Linked DNA regions of Lytechinus pictus. The protein of the gene in region 1 interacts with the protein of each later gene in a pairwise test. Links are inferred from orthologs where the notes say so. Each region holds a gene or a part of one and is shown on either strand. Other genes may lie near its edges.

What was found.
Region 2: the proteins of casein kinase II subunit beta (region 1) and RING-box protein 2-like interact in a two-hybrid assay, tested with the Homo sapiens proteins (2 studies listed by BioGRID). The link is inferred for Lytechinus pictus from reciprocal best matches to the Homo sapiens genes CSNK2B and RNF7.

The regions. Positions count from the first base shown.
Region 1 is NC_087259.1:823,705-836,663, forward strand, and holds the start of casein kinase II subunit beta, read right to left. Parts: upstream 5,964-12,959; 5' UTR 5,873-5,963; intron 3,456-5,872; exon of another isoform or gene 3,389-3,455; intron 1,029-3,388; 5' UTR 984-1,028; coding exon 912-983; intron 1-911. UniProt on the Homo sapiens protein: Regulatory subunit of casein kinase II/CK2.
Region 2 is NC_087260.1:9,042,751-9,055,137, reverse strand, and holds RING-box protein 2-like, read right to left. Parts: upstream 5,211-12,387; 5' UTR 5,002-5,210; coding exon 4,776-5,001; intron 3,885-4,775; coding exon 3,837-3,884; intron 2,009-3,836; coding exon 1,890-2,008; 3' UTR 405-1,889; downstream 1-404. Other genes in the region: nucleoside diphosphate kinase 7-like, read left to right, coding at 6,498-6,620, 7,692-7,858, 9,092-9,132, 9,948-10,068. UniProt on the Homo sapiens protein: Catalytic component of multiple cullin-5-RING E3 ubiquitin-protein ligase complexes (ECS complexes), which mediate the ubiquitination and subsequent proteasomal degradation of target proteins.

The DNA.
Region 1 (12,959 bases):
AGATCCGATTAGAATGGATTCTATTTCGTTGTTGATACAGTGGCAGATACAATTTTTGACCAGCGCAAGTGTTAAATGGGCAAAAGGAATTGTCAATTTTTTTTGTACACAAATTCTATACTCATACTGTGATCTATTTAATCTTTTTTTTTTTAATCCTGAAAATATACAATTCCCCCCCCCCCCCCCCCCAGTTTGCAGGGACTTGTACACCAAACTCAGCTCTGTGTGAACAATGCATAAGATAGTATCATTGAGGTGTACATTGTATGCAACAATGCATTTGGGCATAAAATACCTGAACATGGGTAAAAAAAAAAAAAACATGTAAATGTACACATTAAATAAACAAGATGCTGTAGAACACATCACATGACAGCAGGTAAACTCTCTAAAAATTCATGGAGACTAACCGCCCTTTCACAAGGTAAAAAATTCGTAATTTGAATGATTCCAGTAAAAAATAAGGCTAATGACAAATTTTTAGCACGTGTGAAACGAAACTATAATCACAAATGCTAATCACAGTCATGAATTCAAATTCTACTCCGGAGGTGAATTCTAGTTAAGTTTCACTCAAATTATGATACAAATTTTGTGTGTGAAAGGCTTGACCTCAAAAACATCTATTGGAGGCGGAGCTTACGTGTCCTATCAAGCACTTCCATAGATAATACAATTGTCATGCACTCATTGTAGTTTGTATTTGCCATGCAGTGCTTTGATTGAAAAGTCACTAAGGGCACATACCGCCTTCGCTCAGGAATTCGAATTCAAATCAAAGTTTTCGAGTCAGCGTGTGGAAGGTCTGATGATTCTATAGACGAATTGCAATCATCATTACAATGATGATTCAAGATTCACATGTGAAAAGACCCTTACTTAAGAGACTTTTGGGTTTACTGACTCACCTCACAGAAAAATTCATTGCCCCTAAGTCCACAGAACCATGAAATCCATGATACTTCCTCAGAGCTACTCATCTTTTCTGATTCCTTGTAAATGTAATCCTCTATTTCTTTTAAATCCTGCAAAATAATGTTTAGGTCAATAAAGATGCATTATTAAAGGGGAATTAAATCTTGGTCATAAATACTGAGGACAAAATATGTAAAACAGAATATTGAAAGTTTGAAAGAAATTTGACAACCAACAAGAAAGTCATAGATGTTTAGAAAATGAGATCCCTATTCCCTATAGTGGGAAGGGACAACTTTCCTGGCATAGGCCATACTAGACAGGAATAACCGTCGTTTCTGGGTATTTATTTAACAATTTATGACATTTTACTATAATCCCCATTCACTGACGGTAGTGTGTTAGTGCGAGCCTGCATGTGTAATCAGGTCACCAACTCGGGCGACCGGGTTTTGTCTAGATTTTTATTTTTATTTTTTTTAAATGACATTATATTATCTTGAACGAAGGCCCACTATTTTCGTTAGACTCTAATCTTTCTTTTGATACTATACAAGTTCTAAGAAAATATACGTTAATATAAATTACTAATTTCCATACAATTGCAATTTATTTTTCTTTAGTAACTTGGGAATAATTTTTGTATTCACTAGAGCGCTCAAAAACTTGAATTTTGGGCATATTTTTGTGTACGCCCTCTATTGGTGGAAAATAATATGGCAAGAAAATTTTCATTTTTTTATCGCTATTTTTAATTAAGAAAAAAATAATTTAAATCATCAAATTTACTTAAGGGCCAAGTTGTATGACGAATAGGTGTAATGGAAACTGTCAGTGTAAAAAAATCAAGCATTTGTCCCAAATAAAAAGAGAAAATAATCCAAACATTGTCAACCTTATTTTGCCACACATGGAGATATAACTGAGAACAAGGTTATATCATAACCTTGTTCATTGAATGAGTGATCTAACGTTACTGCTAATACGTTGGCTGTACGTACGGGCCAACAACTCTTTAATCTATGTATTGGTGAGTGGAGCCAACGCAGTTCAACGGAACAACCAAAATACAGAGACTGAAGCTTTTGGTCTAAGGCCATACTAACAGCTGTAACTTTTTATTGCTTGTCCAATTTCTTTCAAACTTTCACCATTCTGTTTAATCTATTTTTCTCCTTTCCAACATGACATTTAAAGGCCAAGGCTGGATTCCCCTTTGAATCCAGGGATGAAGTTGGTCATTTGAGTGGTGTGTGGAATTAATAGCTGAGCAAATTTCGCCGGAGCAAATGCCACAATTTGAAGTAAAGCATTTGGGGGGGGGGGGAATACATTTTAGCCAAGTGTATACACTGTACACTGGAGTAAATAGAAGAAGAGTACTGAGTAGTTCAGTAGCCTTGCATCAATATGACACCACCAATATGGGCTGTTAGTGTTATCGTCTTTATCGCTAGTCTTGTTGATAATCGCCGACGTCGGCAGGCCATGAAATAAGCATTGAAATCAATGCAAGAATATTCTTTAGCACTTGGCAAGGTAAATTTATTGATCATCTCCAGGACAGCGTGTACGCTTTTTGGGAGAGTATGGTAGTGTGACCTTAATTCGCGCGTTAACTAATTTTGCGCACGGGCAAATACCTCAATATCTAATTAATATTTTGAAAAAAATGATATCACCAACAGAAACAGCGACTTAAAATTACCCAGTACCGTATATTAATTTTCTTGAAGGTAAGATTAATGTAAATATTTGCAAAACTTCGGCAAATTTTATTACCTTTTGCGTCCGCTCCAAGAAAATCCGACCTTCTTGACAAGCATCAAGAATTCGCCAGTTTGCAAGCGAAGTCTCCAAATAAGTAAGTAAAATGTGATACCAACCGAATTTATGGCATTTTAACCTCCATCTGATACAATTATGTTACCTTTGTCTGCTTGATTTCTTTTCTAAAGCCTTGCAAAATGATTGTGCACAAATTAAGGTCACACTTTTTATGACACTTTTACAGCCAAGCGCACACTAGTCGATCGCCGTGGAATTGTGAAATCACAATACCAGCGAAACCCTTGTCCTACTTTATAATTCCGTCAAGCAAATTTGACTTTAGGATCTTGCCTTCCGTTTGGTATTCATGATTTTGATTAATTTTGTGTGAGCTGTGAGAAATTTTTGAATGAAAATCAACTTCATGATGATTTCTAAAATGTGCGCAAATTATGGTCACCCCATCATACTTCTTCAAGGTTCAAGGAGACTACGAAGTCATCAAAAACCTTTACCTGTCCGAGGCCGAGCACTGACATGATTACGGTACTACTGTCCATGACTGTCCGGTATTACAATACATGATGACTAGACCGGTTCGATATTCTGCACATGCACTGCCAGTGCAGTGCAGCTGCAGTACGAATGTACATAAAATTCATGACCACCGCTCCAACTTGATGTTGAATCTCTAACTTACCGGACTGGGAATTGATCTATTTGTCTCTGAGAATCTCCAATGGAGGGATCACCTAGCCAGGAGGCTTCTAGAGAGTAAAAATCATTTACTAACGTAGGCTTACTCTCAATGAAGCCAGGTCTTCCTTCTCATTCACCTACACGAAGGACCCCAAAACCTGAAACTTTCACCCCCGAGATTTCTACTTTCCTTCTAAAAAAAATAAAAGATCTAGCCCTAAATCATGTACATGGGATAAAAACTTCATTTCCGACATTTCTACGCTCTCTTTATTTTTAAACAAGAATTCATCAAAAAAATGAGAAAAATATTGTGAAAAGACGGAAGAGACTTGCCCGATGTTTACGCCGCCATCTTGTTTCCTATTGTTCTTCGCCAACATTACGCAAGTCTCTTCCGTCTTTTCACAATATTTTTCTCATTTTTTTGATGGATTCTTGTTTAAAAATAACAAGCGTAGAAATGTCGGAAATGAAGTTTTTATCCTATGTATGATGGGGTGTCCAAACTTATACTTCGCGCACTTTTCAAAAATATTCATCAGGCTTAAATGTTTTCACAAAATATTCATAATTTATACAAAACCAATTCAAGAAATAGTAACCACATTGACGGCAAGATAAAATCATGGATGAAAATGTAAAGTAGGTCAAGGGGATTCGCCGGTATCGCGATCTCAAAATTCTATTCCGATCGGCGAATGCGCGCTGTGCTGGAAAACCGTTCAGAAAAAGTGTGACCTAATTTCGTGGACCAAAGTCTTTGTGGACATTTAAACAAAAACTCAAGCTCAAAAAGTGAAATATTTATATCAGATTGATGGCAAAATGCTATAGAATCGGTTAGTACCACATTTAACTCACATTTTTGATGATTTCTGCTTGCAAAATGGTGATATCGTGATGCTTGTTGAGAATATCAGATTTCTTCAAAGTGGGCGCTAACGGTGACAAATTTGCCGATCTTTTGCCAATATTTTCATGAATACTGAACTCATCCTAAAGAAACTTACACCAAAGGGTAATTTTAGGTCGCTTTTCACGTTGATTACGTCAGATTTTAAGGATATTGGCTAGTTTTTTAGATAATGACCGTCCGCGAAGTATGGACACGCGCGAAGTTTGGCAGTAGAGGCGCACAGCCAATATTGGAGACTGTCTCTAATGTGGGAGATTATCTCCAATATCAGAGACTTTTGTAAAGAATTTGGGTATCCAATTTCAGAGACAGTCTCCAGTTTTGGAGACCAATTTCCTTTGTTTACATTTGCTCCAAAAGGATTACCTTGGCGGCAAATAAAAATGTGATAAGAAAAAAAATGAAATGAAATGAAAATCCATAATTTATTGTTCGAAAATAGACATGACATGAAATGCTCTGAAAATTTGCTTTGCCCAATTGATCGTGGGCCCGGCAGCCGCTGTGCAGCGCCAGATCGACGAGGCTCTTTCCCTTTACTCGTTGAACGCCAAACAGGGTAGCAGCAACTCCCATCTTTTTACGTCTTTTGGTCTGACGCGGCCAGGGTTTGAACCCTCGACCTCCCGGTTGTGAGACGGACGCTCTACCAACTGAGCCAACACACTGGTGTGTTGCAGATTCCTCATAAAAAATTACTCCTTTTCACCGTCTACTTTAAAATTTCACCGTCTAATTTTGTTTTGATAAGGATTTTTGTTGTCAATCACACACAAAACAAATGGGCTTCTGACCTCAGTGACACAAAATTTTGGGTGGAAAAAATCATGCTTTTGTTGGTGTTGTTTCTTTTGTCCTTTTGCAAAGCAAGTCTCCAATGTCAATGTGGGAGATTGTCTCCCCTATTTTTAGTATTGGAGAGTCTCCCATATTGGCCGTGCGCCTCTACTGTTTGGACTCACTGCCACAGGCACAGGCATAGGCCTACGTTGCCCCGGGAACCTCGACACGACGTCCTACGTTTTCGGGCTGCCGCAGTAAAGGCCTACGCCTACGGCTACGGTACATCATGATTTAGCCTTAGGGCTAGATCCATTGGCATTACTAAGTAGGCCTATACTATAGTAGGCCCTATTACGGTACTATTAGAACTAGAAGGAAAGTAGAAATCTCGGGGGTAAAAGTTTTAGGTTTTGGGGTCCTTCGTGTAGGTGAATGAGAACCTGGCTTCATTGAGAGTAAGCCTACGTCAGTAAATGATTTTTACTCTCTAGAACTTAAGCCTCCTGGCTTGGATCACCTACCGTACCGGTACTATGTATTAGAGAGAGGTACCGACTACCGTACCGTACCGTACGAACCGGTACCGTACCGCGTACGTTAAGGCTAAGCACTGTCCAAAAATATGAGTTACGGTATCACATCACATCACATCAGCATGATCAGGTACGGAAATGAAGGATTTCTCCGGAAGATTTTCCGGTCTTTACTTCACAACTTCATTAATAATAATGGGCTACATGTAGAACCAGTGTCAATCTCAATAAACTTGTTAACATGCCGTACCTTTAACCTTTATAAATAATGAATTCCTTGATGGGAGAGTAGCGATACATCCGCCATGCAGCAAACGTCTTGCATTTATATCTGTTTCTGCGCTGCGCGCGCGCGCGCGCGATCGATCGATCATATGCTGCATGCATACCGGTAATATATCCGGAAGTATATACTAGTAATATGCTCTTATTTGCTCCCACGGGGCCAAATGACATGGTAGACAAAAGCATGTTTTTTCTCCAGACCTTTGTTTATGGATAAGAATTAAAAATAGAGTATGCTCCAAAAAATCTGGCTGCAGGAACTGTTTAGTGAAAAATATGGGTGAAAATGTCAGAATTTATGAGTTTAAAGTGTTCTAATATAAAGACTAGTGTCAGTGTAAAACTCAATAGCAGTGCATTATTTTGCATCCGCTTAGTTCTAAAATTCAAACCTTTTTTTAACAGATATTATGTTTAAATATTCTGTTTGTTATTATTATTATTATTTATTTGGCCATAAAAAACATACAAAAATTGTACAATGTAGTTACATAAATACAATTTGAAATTGAATAATGAAATATGGATAAAGTAGAAATGAAAGAGAAGAAGAAAAGAGTAAGAAAACGGTTTTTCCATGGGCCAGGGCTCGCAAAAGTAAAATTCAGTACTATTTATTGCCCAGAGGCATGCGAGCCCTCATGGAAAAACCGTTGAGAGAGTATTGCACATTCAATATATAAAATTGCACATTATTAAAATTCAAATAAAACACATTGACAACATCATTTTAAAAAGTATGTAACGCCAGGCAAGATAAAAGAAATAAAGAGGGGTATTGGGAAGAATTTGAATACCCATGCCGGACTGATTAAGGAATGTGTGTAATGCTTAACATAAAAAACACAAAAATAACTTAAATTTGTGTGAGGTACCAGAGCCCGAAAAGCAACAATGAAATGTAATAAGGAGGAATACCCTAGACAACAGCAAGAGCTAGCATGCCTCCACATTCCTATTAATGACGTAGGCCTACTCGCCAGGCTCCAGCACCTAATACATAACAATCATAGAGACAACAAATAGTAAAATTACAGGAAACTCGCCTCCTTTGATGAAGAAAAAGTAGAGAAATTAAGAACTGCGTAGTAATAATAATAATTAAAAAAATATAGTAATGATATCGAGATTCTTAGGTTTTTATGTGCCCCAGCAGTTTTGCTAAAGAGGAATTTAAAAAAATCAACTGTACCAAATGGATATAAAGGATCAGCCTGTACTACTTTTGAGCATTATTCTGAAATATTAATTGAAAAAAAAGAAAAAAGATTTAACTATATACTAAATCCTTACTGACAGATAATTGAATCAAATTACAATAAAGCAAACACAATTGTTGGATGCACATCATAGAATGAAATATACAAAGTACATGTAATTATTTAAGTAATATGGCAAGCATATCAAATTACAGGAAAAGTGTAATGGCAAAAATTAATTTAGGATGCGTTTATCCGCCACTTTTTTTACCCTAGAATCATGATCTGAATCATGATTCAAATCATGATTCTGCAGAATCACGATTGCGTTTAGTCGAAATTGAATATAATCATGATTAGAATCACAAACATGAAACACGAAAAAAGGGGCATTTGGAAAGACGTTTCTGCAGAATCACGTACGAAAATGTTCGAATAAACGATATCGTGATTACAATCATGATTCTATGACCTCACTGTTGTGTCGGGCTACTTTCGATTTGACTCTTGCCAAGCTCAAGGCGCTCTTATATGCTCATTGTATGATTATGTACTACGCATGCATTTCTTGTCATGTTCAAGTTCTGTGTTGGTCATCGCATCGTCCACTACTTTTCATTTTTTGGTCATGTCTTCAACTTCAAGTTCTAGAAAATGAATTAACTGGACAGACAATGATCTCAATTGTTGTTGAGTATACAGTATCAACATTAATTGGATCTACGCTGAAATTCACTTCCGAACACCATTTTGGAAAAACTAACAAGATGAATAGAAGCATATGGAACCTATAAAGTATATGATAGAAATAAACAAAATGAGGTATAGACTGAATTCTGGAAGCAAAAGATTTTTCGAGAGCCGAAACACGTGCGAAAAACTTCCTCTGTCAAACTGCGCACTAGTGTGATGCGCACTGGATTGGCCCGAATCTGAGGAGAAACAGCATTGGAATGAAGGTCGTCTAAACGCTGATTCTGTGATATTGTGATTCATGTTTGTGTTTTGAATCATGATTCAGATCATGATTCAAATCATGATTCTGACTTGAGGTCGCATAAACGCAGCCTTAATATAACTGTTCTGGAGGTAAGGTCCAACTAAACAGAGGAGAAAAGAGGGGGAAGAGATATATGCACTGTATATTGAAGCAGACAAAAATAATTCTTTAAGAAATATCATTGTAATCATAGCGCAAATAATGAGGTGGTGAATTGACATATCAATGCACCAAGTGTCTGAATGCAGATGCATAAACAAGCTGAAGCTTAGGGTGGTGGAGGGGGTTAAATGTTGGTGCTGTGTATGTACATATTTTGGTCTTGGGGTAAAGACGTATACAAGACACATTTTTTGCATGTGTTGGAAATTGTGTTGCCATGGTAACAGTGTATTATGATAAAATAAGGTAAAAAAATCTTGCAGTTAGAACTATACTTCCTCTGTTTTCAACCGATTCTCATGAAATTTGGTACACACATTGGTCTTGAGGTGAAGATGTCTAAGACACATTTTTTGTGTCTTTCAGAAATCTTGTTGCCATGGTAACAACACATTATATGGCAAAAAGTTGGTAAAAACCTTGCGATTTGAACTTCGTCAGTTTTGAACCAATTAATTCTCATGAAATTTGCTCACACATTGGCCTTGGGGTAAAGATTTGCAAGAACCTTCTTTTTTTTTGCATTTGTCAGACAGTGTGTTGCCATGTTTACCACATTGTAGATTAAACTACTTCTCAGTTTTCAGCCCGTGCTCATAAAAGTTGGCACAAATATTCATTTTGGGTAAAGATTCATATTCAATGTTAAAGGGGAATCCAGCCTTGGTTATGAAATGTTCGGTTAATGACAAGGATTATAAAAATAGAGAGAATGGTGAAAGTTTGAAAGAAATCGGACAAGCAAAAATAAAGTTATGGCTGCTTTAAAATTAAGATCCCTGAGACTTTATATGTAGATTTCAAATTGGCAAGTGGGTAAGTAAATTATGACAAGTTGCCCCCCCCCCCCCCCCCTGGCGGATTTCACCGGGAAAATAAAAGAAAAACGGGAAAAAGAAAAAAAGGAGGGAGAAAGAAAGGGGAAGGAAAAGGAAAGGAGGAAAGGGAAAGGGAAAAGAAAACTAAGAAAAAACATGAAAAAGGGAAAACGGAAAGATAACGGGAAAAGGAAGGAAAAAAGAACAAGTGAGAAAAAACAATTCGCCCCGATATACAAATACATTAGCATGATTAGTAAGACAGGGAAATAAATTAAAGATGACAAAAAGGCAAACAAAAGCGGGAAATAAAGGCAGAATGGAATTAGCCAAAATCTAAATTGGAAAATAAAGAATAGGGACAAGATAACGTACACTACCGGGCTGCCGAGGATTGAGATAACGAGCGGGAAGAAAAATGAATGGTATATAGCATAATGTCGTATGAAAGTCTATCATAAACTTGCTAAATCTCCAAAGGCTCTGTCCAAGACTCAAGACCCCGTGCAGTGGGGGCTCTTCATCTGTAACCTTTAATGGGTTCTATAACGGGCCCATATATGGACCCTTCCTGCATTAAGCTTTACATTGAAGCACTTGCGTACCGGGGGTGGTTCCACAGCCAAGGGGAAATAAAAGAAAATAAAGGAGGCAGCGAAATGAGATGAATGAAAAAAATATATGACATGATATTTGCTATAATGATGTAAAAATCTATCACATAATTAGAATTTCATTTTAACAGGCCATTTTTTTCTGGCTCGCTTCGCTCGCTTGCAACTTTTTACAAATTTTCCCACATTTGCTATGGTGTGCCCCTAATATTTGGATGATTACGATACACAACTGCATTGAATGTATGTGTTGTGTTAAAGCTATATAAATATACACGCAATTTGATTTAAATAAGTGGCCATCTGTAAGGTTTAAAATAGCTTTGATATCAAGAGGTTCCGGGGCTCTGCCCTGGACCCCACCCATAAAGCACCGTACTGTTATATGGATGAGTTTGGACCATGGCCCCCAACAGTTCTACAACCAAACCAAAAAAAAATGAGGAAAGAAAGGAAAGTGTATCATATTTTTCTGAATATCACGTTAAAATCTATCTTCATGTTAGCTCGCTCGGGACCTATATTAAGCTACTTCTTGCCACAAGCGCCATACTCGCCCCCCTCGAGCATATAGAGCTTCGCCCTGATGCTCACAATCATAACAAAAATCATGTTCACCGTGGCGTACAAAAAAGAGAGAAAAAAGGAGAGAGAGGAGGGTGAATATGATATCATCTTTTAACATTATGTCAAAATCTTTTAAAAATTGGATTTTTGCAATAAAAATATCAAAAATGTTTGCTCGCTCGCTTATATATATATATATATTTGCCCGATACGCCATATCGCCCCCTCAAAATTTTTGCCTTATGACGCCATTGCCTGTTCCATGATATGACCGGGAAATTTTTGGCTCTTGCCCCCCCCCCCCCTGGCCACCGACCCCTGTTACGCCGCTGACAGGATCGTCAAGAGAGGTGACAATGATGTATACATGTACCAAAGGCTCTGTTGGTCAATGCATTGCCGTAGGGATAAAGCAATACCTGCAGCGAAAAATAAGAGTAAACTAAAGAAAACAAAATAGAGTAAAAAGGGAAAGAGCAATGTCATTGAAGAAGACTTTTAAAAATTCTAAGACAGGCAATTTTGGGAGCAAGAAGAAAAAAAGCGTTTGTAAAGAAAAGAAACAATATGAGTTTGTGAGGACTTGTAAGATAAGAATGCTCGATTGTGGGTCTGCGCAAGTTCATCCCCTTTCCTGGAGTTCACAGATTTGTACGAGACCTCTTTAAAGGTTATCGACACGTATTACATAGATGAAATTCAAGATTACGACTTTGAACTTAGTAAATACATAAGTTACAGGTGCCTATAGCTTTCTATTCAAATACTAGTAGATTATTCTAAGCGATACAGAGCAGTTTGATTGCAAGAAATTGTGAAAATTTTTGCGGGTGGTGAAAATGATTCGATTCCAAAGAAATTTTCTATCACAAAACGGATATTATTTTAAACTCATTTACTTTACAGTATCCTCTCCAAACCGAGTTTAAAAAAGGAATTATGTAATGGATTTATTCTAAGTTACTAGTTGGCATTTCTTTTATTCGTTCCATACCATAACAAAGTAGTAGGTGCTTATCAAGCCATATCAGGTGACAAGAGTACGTTAAAGAGTGGCGTTGAATGCAAATAAAGCCACACGTCCCTATTCAATAGATTATTCTGCGCAATTCGGAAAAAGAATTCACGGGCCAAATAAAACACTCGGTCACATTTGCTCTACGGCGGCCGTACGGCGAGTCGAAAACAGCCGTTTTATAAATTTGTATTCAAACCATGCACCTATATGTAGCTGGTACACAAAATGTTAAAACGGCTGTTTTTGACTCGCCGTATGGCCGCCGTAGAGCAAATGTGACCGAGGTATAAAGGCCACCGCACACCTTACGACCCGACCAGTCGCCGACTGGCTTGCGACTGGGTGAGGGGAGATGTGACGTCACAGCGCATGTCAGCTTCAGAGTCGCAGACCGGTCAGAGACAAGTCGCAAGGAAAATCGGAAGGATTTGACATGTCGAATCCTTATGACTGGATCGCAAGCTCAATCCAAATTCCAGCCAATCAGACAGCAGAGTTGCACGACGCGTATATGATAAACAACGCGCATACGCAGTAGTAAACGCATTCTCTTTGTTGTTATGCCAAAAAGCAAAAAGCGCATGCGTGAGTCGCAAATCGGATCGCAAGGTGTGCGGTGTCGTGGCTTATGACTACCTTGCGATTCATCTCCCCTCTCTCAGTCGCAAGCCAGTAGCCGACCAGTCGGGTCGTAAGGTGTGCGGTGGCCTTTACTCATTTGGATAATCTGAATAATAGGTGCAAAAATTGTAATTAGTATAGTATTTGAAATCAGTATTCTTAATTAACTGTTGGAATTTTCTTAACTCATTAACATTACAATAAAGACATAGGTGTTTATCAAACCATTATCAGGTGACAAGAGTACATTTTAAAGAGTGATGTTGAATGCATATAAAGAAAAAGTCTCTTTTCAGGAATTGATCTGATTAAACAATACATAATAGATTTGATTGTAATTAGGAAAAAAGAATTCTCGCGCCAAAAATAAAACCCGTTTCAATACCAAAATTCAGCATTACAATAAAACAGTAATAGGTGCTTATCAAGCCACATCAGGTGACAAGAGTATATTAAAGAGTGGTGTTTAATGCATATACCATAAAGACACACGTCCCTATTCAGATTCTGAATAAACCAGACTGAGACTATATGCAATTTGAGAAGAAAAATAATTCACACACCAAATAAAGCCAGATTCATTACCCTTTTAAAGCCAATTCCCTATATCACAAAACTTGTATTTTTGACTTGGTAACTCATTTGCAATCTCTAAATAATATGTGTTTAACAAGCATAAAGAAATCAAATTTACTTTTAAGGTTATTGGTGTTACAACAAATTGGAATGCTCGAAAAATCTTAAGCATTTGTTTTATCATCAGGAAATTAACAAATCACATGTCATAAGTATTCCATTGCCACTAGTTAGTATGGATGGATTTTTTTTTTAATAGTTCAACAGGAATTCCTAAGATTTTTGTGCAGGGTTTTGAAAAAGGTCAATACTAATTTCGAGGTCCGATGAGGATAGGGATAAAGATATAAAGAAAACAGCAACGTCATTTAAAAAAAAACCAATACATTCATAAATTCACCTCATATTTCGGAGAGGCTGAAAAGGAGCCAAGAAGTTCAATTCGTATAGGCCTACTTTTGATTGGGTGGTTTTAAT
Region 2 (12,387 bases), on another chromosome or scaffold:
CGTATTCTGAAGTCGGGTTTAAATTAGACCAAGGTCTAACTCTGTGCTAAAATTATGGGGAGCCAAAAATTCTGTTTATATTGTATATTTCTTATGTTAACTATTTTGATTCCTTTTGCTTTCATAATGAAGAAAAATACTTTAGTTATCATTCCCAGACAATTCTGAACAATTTGAGTGTCAAATGAGTTAATAAATTGGATTTGTATGGATAAGGATTTGTGCCCCACTTGGCTCTCCATACTTAATCCACAACTATAAACCAGGGTTTAATTTAAACCTGTGTTCAGAATATGGGCCAATGAATCCAGAGTCAATTTTAGAGCTCAGACGAGCAGCCCAGTGGCACATTTTTAACACCAATGCCAGCACCAATCCCGAACACAACACTTGATAAAGAGTAGTAGGTTGTTCGCATGAATTTATTTTTGACACCACCTACAGTTGAGGCCAGAAGTTTACATACATCCAGAAAAAAAAAAGTTGACACTTGCCAAATATCATAAAATTTACTGTACCTTATAAAATTGTGCTATCATGACGAAATCGATATCAAATAAATGACTATGTCATGCCCCTTCATCACATTGCTTTTTATATCAGGAGCTGAAAAATATTTAGGTGTCATCTTTTCCCCAAAACTCTTCATATTTTAGACAAATCAAAAATAAAAACTTGACAAAAACATTTCATATTTGTGCTAGTTACTTCTCAACACAAACATTTCAGATTCCACTTTTTTGTTCAGTGGTGACATATCATGATATAAATCATAGATATTAATATTTCTGTGAAACGATGTTTGAAAATATAATAAACAATAGAATACATTTGGCACTAATATTACTTTTTTTTTCAAAGAAAATTCCACCTGAAATATACTTTAATCCCAGTTTCATCCCAATCATGTGAAAGAGCTTAATATACTCTTCCATTTAACACCAAATTTGTCATTGAAGTATTTATATTTCTGAAGATATAGTAAATTTTACGATGTTTGGCAGGCTAACAAATTTCACTGAAATCCATGGGTGTATGTAAACTTTTGGCCTCATCTGTGTATATGTAACACCAAACTAGTACCTGAAATTATCAAGTGGATTAAAATTGTGAATAGTTATAACCAGAGTGACTAGATTTGTCTAAATGAATCTATAAGCACCCAACACCTTATGTGAAATCATCAAGTGGATTACTGAATATAATCTGAGTGACCAGACTTGTTGAAACAAATCTGCTTTGATTGGAAACCTGTCAAAGCCTGTTTACAATTACTACACATATATATTCTGAATCTGAATCATACTGCTGTACCTCTCTATATTGTCAAACCTCTTCTAAAATCTTCATCAATATTGGATTGATTCAACTGAAATTTCAAAGCCCAAGTTATTCCATATCCTCATATCTAACTACCCACTGTACTCGATGGATACCGTCCCTGTCAAGTAATTTTCAAATTTCATCAAGGAGATCATGCGTTAAATATTATGTAAATGCGGCACATTAGTATGACTTTAAGTGACAGATAACTCTTTGTGAAACTCCCTCCTGTGATGGTGTACATGTATGTGTTATATCTTGTGAAAGGTGCTACACAAATATCAATTATTATCATTATCTGAAGTTTAGGACATGTTTATGTCCATCAGTCCACAGTTCTGATCAAACACTGAGCAACCCTCTTCAGATGCCCGATGAATTTAACATGTCCTGGAACTCTGGAAGCACAATGTCCAAAATCACAGTCACAAGACATTGTGGAGTTGTGAACACTGAACATCCTTACAAGATTTAACATCAAAGTCACAAGTTTGGTGATCACTGTCATGTGCCTTAAACCCCCAGTGAGGGCAGTATTGATCGAACAGACGAAGGGTGTGGTTGCCTCACTTTCCTATGCGTTGAACCATCCACTCCTGCTGACATAGAGGGCAGCGGTTGTTCTGCTTGACCCAAAGCGACATGCAGCAGTTATGGAAGGAATGATTGCACTCGCCCCACACAACTGCATCAAAGAGAAAGAGAAGAACGGATGAAAATAAGAGGAAAAACATGCAACCTACAGGAAGCTCTACCGAACAAGACAAGAGAAATGCATGTAAGTTGAAACTTAAAGGACAAGTCCACCCCAACAAAAAGTTGATTTGAATAAAAAGAGAAAAATCCAACAAACATAACACTGAAAATTTCATCAAAATCAGATGTAAAATGAGAAATTTATGACATTTTAAAGTTCTGCTTAATTTCACTAAACAGTTATATGCACATCCTGGTGGGTATGCAAATGAGGAGACTGAAGACGTCATCCACGCACTATTTCTTTTGTATTGTATTACATGAAATAGGGAATATTCTATTTTTCTCCTCATTGTCAAGTGAAACAACGATTAATTCCTCCCTGAACATGTGGAATGGGCATTGTTTAAATACTATATGATTCAGTCAAGTTGGTCCTTATTGTCAAATCTATACAAAATGAAATATTGTTTAATTCAAACAATAAAAAACAAAAGAAATAGTGAGGGGCATCATCGACTGTCTCATTTGAGTTGTGCATACCACTCTTTTGTGAAAAATAAGCAAAATTTTAAAATGTCATAACTTTTTTATTTTATATACGATTTTGATGAAATTTTCAGCGTTTTGCTAGTTTAATTTTTCTCTATTTATTCAAATCAACATTTTTCTGGGGTGGACTTGACCTTTAATAAAATTGAACAAAATATGGAGGGGACACACTAGTGTATCCAGCATCAATTAAGACAAAGAAATGTATGGGCCCATGCACAAGCATAATAGAGTCCCTATTGTCCCCAGACAATTGGGCCCATGAAATGCTTTGTAGAATCTGATGCTGGATATGCGCCTGGGACACGAGGAAACTGAGAAAGGGCTGGGGGGAGGCTTCATCGGGTAGCTTGAAAAGATAAAGTTGAAAAAGACCGGTAAAGGGATTGATACGGAGATGTAGAAATAAGAATTACATGGAGATACTTTTACACGGGGGGGGGGGGGGGGGGGGGGGAGGGAGGGCATGGCAAGAAAATTATTGGCAATTGGATGTGCATTTATAAAACAGTTGAACTTGAAACTATGGAAATCAGCTAATCAATATCAATTGATTTTTTTTTACATTTTCAGGCATGTAGTGCGTGAATTATTAAAATAATTGATAATTGATTACTAGTACAACTTTCTTGCAAATGGCCCTTCTTGTACATGTAATATGCATACATTGCACTCAGCAGCTCAATTCATGAGATATCACTTCAGAAAATGCAGAGGGCGACATTGCACTTTCAAGTATGATAGATATGAAAATTAACCAAATATTCTGGACATTGTTTTGAAAAGGACAGAATTAGAATAATAAACCCAATTATATTTAAAAACCAAATCAATACATCTCTGTTTTAACTAATTATCAACAAGTTTCCATCTGCATAACATTTCATTACCTATTCCTGCAAAGCATGAAGATAAATAAAGAAAAATGTCAAAGAATGGTTTGATAGAATTAGCCTGATAAAATCTTTAACAGCTTCCTTACATGTATCAGTATTACCCCTACTTTAAAAAAATGGGATAAAATTAAAACTTAAAATTGAAAAAAAATATAAGAAACATGTACTTTGCAAATGAAAAAGCAATACCAAATATCCCACAGAGTCACAATGAATTTCTGTCACAGTCACTCTCCTATTTAACAAACTTTGTTAACATGATTTTGATTAAATTATAGACAAGTAATTTTCCTCTTATAATTCACATCGACTTCAGGTTTAGGTGGACTTCACTTGGCCTTTACATTGGAATATGACCGATTGGCTTACCGACACACTCTTCTTGTTTGTTTTCTGTTTGACATCTTAGGCAGGCATCTGAAAGAAAATAATTACATATGTTTATTGTGAGGTTTTGCAAACTAAGCTTGCTGGCAATGGAATACTCATACTCAATACATGTAGCACAATTAAATAAATGAAAACTTGGCAAATAGACTCAAGCACACGCATTTTAAAGGAATATCAAACATGACTGAAGAGAAGAAATACTGCCTTCCTCATCAAAATACCTGAATCATAATCTAGTAAGGTGAATGGATGAAGAGACATGGAGCACAATGATCAGTGGCATACGAATGAGAGGGGGCTGGGGGCACTTAAATTAATTGCCCCTTCCCCAAAAAAATTTAACATCACAACCATGAAAAAAAGAGACAAATTTATGACCACAATTCACAAAAAAGAAGAGGAAAGAAAAGAAAGGCATGAAGAGTGAAATATGATATTATTATCTGAATATTCTTTTTGTAAAAATCCATAAAAAATTGGATTTTTGTAATAAGTGTCAAAATTATTGCTCACTCCGACTCGCTTCGCTCACTCCGACTCGCTTCACTCACTCTCAACTTTATGAATTTTGTCCGATATGCCACGTCTAACATCTGGCCCCCTCAAAATTTTTGGCTCATGTCAGACATAATTAATGGGAATGCATTACGGCGGTACGCCACCGGCCGACAATCATTGTTTATTTCAAAGACAAAGTGAAAGTGACTGGCCGGCGTTTATATTTTCAACGAAGATAAAATTTATTTTTAACATATAGCATAGGCCTAGATTGATTCTCTCACTTTCTCAAACTCAGTCCGAGTCTCAGCTCAGTCAGTCTCACAAAAAAAATGAAAATATATACCGGTATATTATATTTTTTTAATTACAATTTAGATTGAATTGTGGAATGTGGGCATTCAAAAAGACAACACCTACCCATGACTTGAACCCTGCAAATTGCACAAGTATCGCATTCCACATCCCAACTCCACATCGCCACAATGTTCCATTTCTTCAAGGAAAATAGTCTCTGGTTCTGGTCGGTACTTTTGGGGTTCGCCGACGTCCCAGTCCCGGTTACCGCTGGCGTTCCTGATGGACCGAGACCCGTAGATCCCCCGCTGCCAACTTCCGGATTTGCGGCAGGTCGAGGTATCGACATCTTACTCGTTGTTTCTTCAGATTCACGTGAACAAGCTAAGAAGAGCAGTGCACATACACTTGTGTCGATTTATTGATGATGTTTCATGGATTTGATCATTTCAATTACCGTTCACAATCAAGAAAATACGTCTTACAAGTCTCTGTTTTCGTCTCGACTTTCTCAAACTCCTATAATTTAATTAACGAAGAGGGCGCGCACCTATCTATAACGGTGCCGATAAGTTTTAAAGACTTGAATATTATTACTTATATTTTGCTTGATTTTTATATTTTTTTACAATCAATTATTACAAAAAAAATAATAATCCATTACAAAATTTTTGTTTATTCAAACGCAAATTTTTTAATCCTTTTTTTGTAAAAAAAAAAATTCTTAATCTGACCCCACTTTTGATTTACTCAAAATTTGTTGCTTGACAACCTCAAACGAATTTTGCAGCAGACCGTCTCAAACTTACTTGTTAGAATTATCGAACTTTCCACTTTTCAGGAGAGAAGACTGCTTAGAACACAAGCTTAACAATGGTGAGTGTTTATAGTGGCTACTGTATCAAATAAATATGTAATATATTCATTAGTTGCCTATTTCCACTTATTAACTTGCAAGCTGCGGAGCTCGAGCTGGAGCCGAGCGGCATGCGGAGGCGGAGCTCCTCCGCCGAGGCCGAGGCAAAGGCTCGCTTGCGCTCGAGGAAGTGGAGCAGGGGCCCGTTTAATTTCTCAACACATGGACAAGTTATATCTTTATCCACCAACCACGGAGTTAGTTCCAATCTTACTAAACCTGTTTCATCGAAAGTCTTCCTAACTAGACATGCTAGAATTCCTTGATATCGATACTATCGGTAAAAAGAGCAAACGAGACGTAGCCTTAGGCTTGCCTTAGACAAGTTTAGAGTCAGTTAGACGCCGTCACAAAATAGCATTATTTTCAAAAAGAAAAATTATGGCAAAATTGCAAATATTATGATGAATTGGTAAATAAATCTTTTCAAAATACTACTTACTAGCACAGGTAAATTATGCATCATACATACTTAGACCATGAAGACTGGAGCATTCAATTGTAGAGAAAATTAAATTATGAATAATTCATTTCATGACTAAAAAATCACTTGTACAGTTGTGGACGTTCAGATGGGTACCCCAGGGAGACCCAATTTTAATAGTTTACAAAAGTAAACCATAACGGTCTTCTTTGACTTTGTAAAATGATGATAATTATACGGACTTTTATGATTCCAAACGTCATCAAAATATAGTTTAACGAAACATTTATAATCATTGATACCGAAAGATACGATAAAGATTACTCTCACCAATTAAAGACTAGACTCTGAGGGAATGGAGAAAGTGCGTACATTGCCTGCGGAATACCAGTATTTGATGAGTGGGGTAATCCTATATCTGTCAAGCACTAAAAATGTGGTTCCAATGTATTAAGCACTGTAAAAGTACAATAATTTAATATTATCAAATAACTTTCTTTTTTGCATGCAGGCAAGCTCTGCCCAAGATGGTCGCTACTCTTTCATTTGTGAATGGTACGACAACAATGCAGCTATTATCAGACGATATCAGTTCCTCTTCTACCCTAATGATAACACCATTGAAATGGTAAGCTTGTTTGTAATGCCTTGGTCATCTCATATATTTGCTAAACAAACAAATTCACATTTTGCCCGTCTCCACCCAGATGGCAATGGTTACTCAGTATGCATTTTTTTTGCATCAGATTGGCCCCTGTCTCAAACGCTTCCCCAACGTAGAAAATGTGCAACCCAAATTTGTGGGGATTCAATTTTGATGAATGAACAGTTTCATGAATTTGATGACATGACTGTTTATTGTATGAAGGGGAAACCTTGTAACTTAAATTATTTGATAAAATAAAATGAAGTCAGATGTTGTAACACAATGAATTCTGATCCAACATTTGTCCAAATTTTTGATATGAGGAAAAACTGTCGCACTTTTGTTTAAAAACCTCAAGAGTTTGTTGAAGCTTAAGAATCTACACATACGTGTATTTCGGCACTTGATATTCCTGTCCTACGTCTGGGACTTGTGTTGCAAAAAGCTGAAATAGATTAAAATCTAGTTCGAATTGCAATTGATGCAACATTTTCTACGGTACACCTATTTAGATCAATCACAAGTTGAGTTAGATTTTAATCTTTCTCAATTATTTTTCAGACAGGTTTAAATTTATGAATAGCCTCTGAAATTACTGAATCAAAAATACAGTTAAATTTATGAAAATCAAAGCAAATCCAATGAACAACACAACTGTCCATCAATTAAAAATCTTCCATTCACATCTGTTTACTGTGTTTAGCATGTATTCAAAATAAGGGTTTTTAATCCGCATATATAGTGCTTGTATTATCTATTAATTGCAATGTTTTTCTAAGATTTACTTGATTTACAAAACTTATAATGATGAAGCAGCAATCTTTATATGTTTTGTACATATCACTGAAGAATTTGAATTTTACAATTATGGCAAACCTTGATTTTAATTTGCATAATCTATATAAAAACAGAGAAGTAACAGCCTTATTTATTTCCTTATATTACGCTAAAAATTGTCAGTTTTATCTTAATTTGTTCAAATGATAATTGTCATTGGGATGACTTGGTCTTTAATTCAATTAATTTGAATCTTGTTTCCTTCTTTTTTATCAGTATGACCTAAAGAATAGACGTCAGTTCTTGAAGAGATCACATTGCGATTCAGTCCATCTAAGAGACCTCTTTGTTGGCAGTACTGTTAATGTTCACTCACGTCAGCTGAACCTGGTTGAGTATGCTGATGATTTCACGAAGAGAGCGCTTACAAATGTCAAACAGAAGTAAGTATTTATAAGCAAAAATAACGAGTTGCCATATTTGGTCTAATTCTAATAATCCTTGCCATTTGGTCTAATGCCAGTTTGATCTCATCTTACATGTACACTAGAGTTTTTCAACATGGTATCATGCTTGGGAATTGAGTAAATCTAAAACTTCATAATCTTCTTGTTTTTTTTTTCTTCTAATCTCTCAATGTTTCCTCTATATGTTTAACCCTAAACGAACTGGACTATTTGAGATGTACCTGTACCCTGGACTTAGGGGGGGCATGATGCCCCCCTTTTTCTGATCTTGGCCGCCATTTGCGCGATCACGCCAATATTTGGCATGCACATTCCTTACCACAGAAACTACGAGCCTACAGGTATAAAAAAATTCTGAAAACAATTGTTTTATTTATTATGAATAAAGTATGTAAATTTATTTGTGAAAAACATTTTCATATTTAACACCCAATTTCACTTCAAATTTTCTTCTTCTTTTTTCCAGATGTCACCTTTGTAATCTAATTTAAAGGTTTCCACAAAGAAAAGTTTTGAAAGCCAATTTTTGTCTCGCCTGCGAAGCAGAGTGAGACTATAGGCGCCGCTTTTCCGACGGCGGCAGCGGCGTCAACACCAAATCTTAACCGAAGGTTAAGTTTTTTAAATGACAGCATAACTTAGAAAGTATATGGACCAAGTTCATGAAACTTGGCCATAAGGTTAATCAAGTATTACTAAACATCCTGCATTATTTTCAGGTCACATGACCAAGGTCAAAGGTCATTTAGCGTCAATGAACTTAGACCATGTTGGGGGAATCAACATCAAAATCTTAACCTAAGGTTAAGTTTTTGAAATGTCATCATAACTTAGAAAATATATGGACCTAGTTCATGAAACTTGGACATAAGGTTAATCAAGTATTACTGAACATTCAGCTTGAGTTTCACATCACATGACCAAGGTCAAAGGTCATATCTCCCTTAGACTTACGGTACACATATACCCGTATGTTGCGAATTTGGTCTCAAAAGTTGCGCGAGGTTTCAAAGAAAATAGTCAAAAAAATTTGTGGCGCTATCTTTTTGCGTTTCAGGGTCGTCATGCCCTAATCAAGTAATTTAAAACTTGTTTTCTACTTGTTCTTTGAAAATCTCTCAGTAATTCCTCTAGATCTTTTTTTTATGGTTAGATAGTAGCCTATATTGTGGAATACAATATGATCTATTTCATTTCATTCTTTTTCAGGACATTAGGGCTGATCAAACCTGATGCCATTTCAAAATTTGGTGAGTATATACAAACACTTATTTTTCATACATTATTTGTTTTGTAAATTACTAAACTAAGTTTGTCTTTTGAAGACAATGGTTGACTTAACGAAGATCTTGTTTTACAAAATCCTGAACTTTTATTCATGATTTATGTAATGTTGTTCATATGGATTAAAAACAGAGTGCACAGTGCATAGCGAATGCAGAGTGGATTTGATGCTTTAAAAGTTATGCCATCACCATCATCACCATCATTATCATCACCATCATCACCATCGTCATCATTATCATCACCACCACCATCATCATCATCACCATCATCACCATCGTCATCATTATCATCACCACCACCATCATCATCATCATCACCACCACCAACATCATCATCCATATTCATCATCCATAATCATCATCTTCATTTATCATAACCATCATCATTATCATCATCATCATTATCATCACCACCACCATCATCGTCATCATTATCATCATCATCATCATCCATAATCATCATCATTCATCATCCATAATCATCATCTTCATTTATGATCACCATCATCATTATCAACACCACCACCTTCATCATCGTCATCATCATCACCACCACCATCATCATCACCGCCACCATTATTTTAAGAAAATGAAAGCACATACATGTATCATCATTGTCATCCTCTACGTTAATAAAAATGAAAGCATGTATCATCACCACCACCTCCATCATCACCACTATCATCATCATCATTAATCTTCTTCACAATCTAATATTACCGTAATGAAAATAGGAGCGTCTTATCTGCTCAAATCTTGCTGATTTCCTCCCCGTATAGGTCCCATTATTGATATGACATACCAGCAAGGATTCTTGGTGACCAATGCCAAGATGACCAGGCTGACCAGAGGTCAAGCTGAGGAGTTCTATAGAGAGCATTCGGGAAAACCATTCTATAAGTAAGTGTGTTAAATCTTGTGAAGAAATCGGTTTGGTTTTATAAATGGCAGAGGTAAAATTTGAAATTTGTCCTGGGATGGCAGAGGTAAAAATGGCAACGGTAAAAATGGCAGAGGTAAAAATGGTAGCTCTAGGTAATAATAGCAAAGGTAAAAATGGCAAAGGTAAAAAGGGTAGAGGTAAAAAATACCCAGTCTTAAATGCCCATGCAATCAAAATTTGAGAGTAAATCCCCTTCATGGTTAGTTAACTCTGTAAGGTTGAAGAAGAGAATTTTAGAAGAAATCATTATTATTTCATATTTTCATAGATGTGTGTGTGATACGTCTCCCTTGTTAGTCGATTTGACACTTTCCGAACCTAGAAATGTTTTTTCCGATGAAGTTTTTTTCTTGATTTGTGTTCCTATGGGGTCCTAGAACAAATTCAGCTTGGTTGCCCAAAGTTGCCGTTTGGGCAATTTTGCTAATTTGCATAATTCCAAAATGGCCGCCACATGCCATCTTAAAAAACTAACTTTTGAACCCCTTGCCCTAAAATGATGAGGAAGAACTCCTTTTATGGGTTTAGGTGTGTGTCGAATCCATTTCTATTATTATTTTTGCAATATAAGGTCATCTTCAGGTCAAATCCAATATGGCCGCCAGATGCCATCTTTTAAACTTGAATTTGAACCCCTTGCCCCAGAATGATGAGCAATACCTTTGTATATAACACCTTCTTCTCTCTCACTGGAACCAAGCAAGGAACTCTACGCCTGCTGCCACCAATATGTACTCATCTTTGGAAAATGTTCTGCATACCAAGAATGCTATATGGGATTCAGATTATTCAACTCACCAACTACATGCTGTCCCGTTTGAACAAGGCTCAAACATTTCTTTTTAAAAGTGTGCTTGGTTTGCCAAGGAGTGCGGCGGACGAAATTGTTTATTTATTGCTCGATATCATCCCAATGGATAAGCGAATCGACTATGAAATTCTTCTCTTACTTGGGCAATATGCAAGCCTTTCAGACGAGCGCACTGAGAGAAGAATCCTGTTGAATGGTATATCATACAATACACCCTTGGTAAGACGCTGGATAAAAATCCTCAATAGTTATGAACTTCCAAGTCTCACTAACATCCTTAGAGATCACATTCCATATAAAGTATGGAAGAAGCTAGCACTGGGAAAAATTTATAAACAACACTATGCTGCCCTTGAAATTGCAATTGCTAAAAAATCTTCTCTAAGTCTATGGTCGGGCATGGCCCTCTCCTGAGGGAAGCTATGTCCATCAGAGCTCAATTATCCTGCAGTACATACCCAACGAATAGAAGGTTATTCTCTCTGAATCAAAGTACCACAAATTCCGGCAAGTTCTGCCACTCCGAACTGGAAAGTGTTGTACATTTTGTTGGAGAATACCCAGCGTTTTGCACACACAGGAAAACACTTCTAAACTTAATAAAAGAAGACGAGGAACTGCAGTATTTTTTTGTGCATTTCAATGATCAAGAACCTCAACAATTTACCGCTTCCGTCCTGTTTCTTCATGACGTCGAATTAGCAGACTTCTCCAGAAACGACCTCAACCTACTTGTCTTAAATTTCTTGCATAATATTTACCTCTCTCGGTCTACCTTACTCTCACGTCAAAATATGTAACGCTAATATTAATGCAGTATTAAACTGCGGATCTCCGATACAGCGGAGGAAGGATACAGAAGAAGAAGAAGGCAGTCTCTAAAGCAAATTTGTACAGATGAATGAGGATGGCGCTGAAACAGGTTCAGATAGTGATGCTGCCCTAGCCTTCCTCCTTGGTCTTTGGCCTGCCAAGTGCCAATGTAGCATTCTGATTATTTTCTGACGTATTGACCCCTGTACTTAGTAGCTCTCCATAGATGACGACTATCATCTACATCTTCAAAAGTGTTAGTGTTAATGCCGGCCAAGTTTTATGTCACGTTTGCAGATGTGTTTATAACAGAGGTGTGATCTATCTAGAGACCAATCACATAGCTCACCTTACATTGGTGAATCCCTTCTAGGATTTGCCAAAGTTTCATGCGGCGAACATGCCCCAACCACTTGAGGCACCTTTCACTAAGAATCGAGAATAAACTGGTGATGACAGCATGCACGTACGCTGAAGTGCCTTATATTTTTCACTCTGTCCTGCCATTTCATGTGCAGGATACGTCCGAGGCAGCTGACATGGAAGGTGTTCAGCCGCTTTTATTGATCGGCGTACGTTTTCGAGGACTTATTTCCGTTCAGGAGCTTGGCCATGGCTGTGACAGATATTCCCATCCTGGTGCTTATCTCCT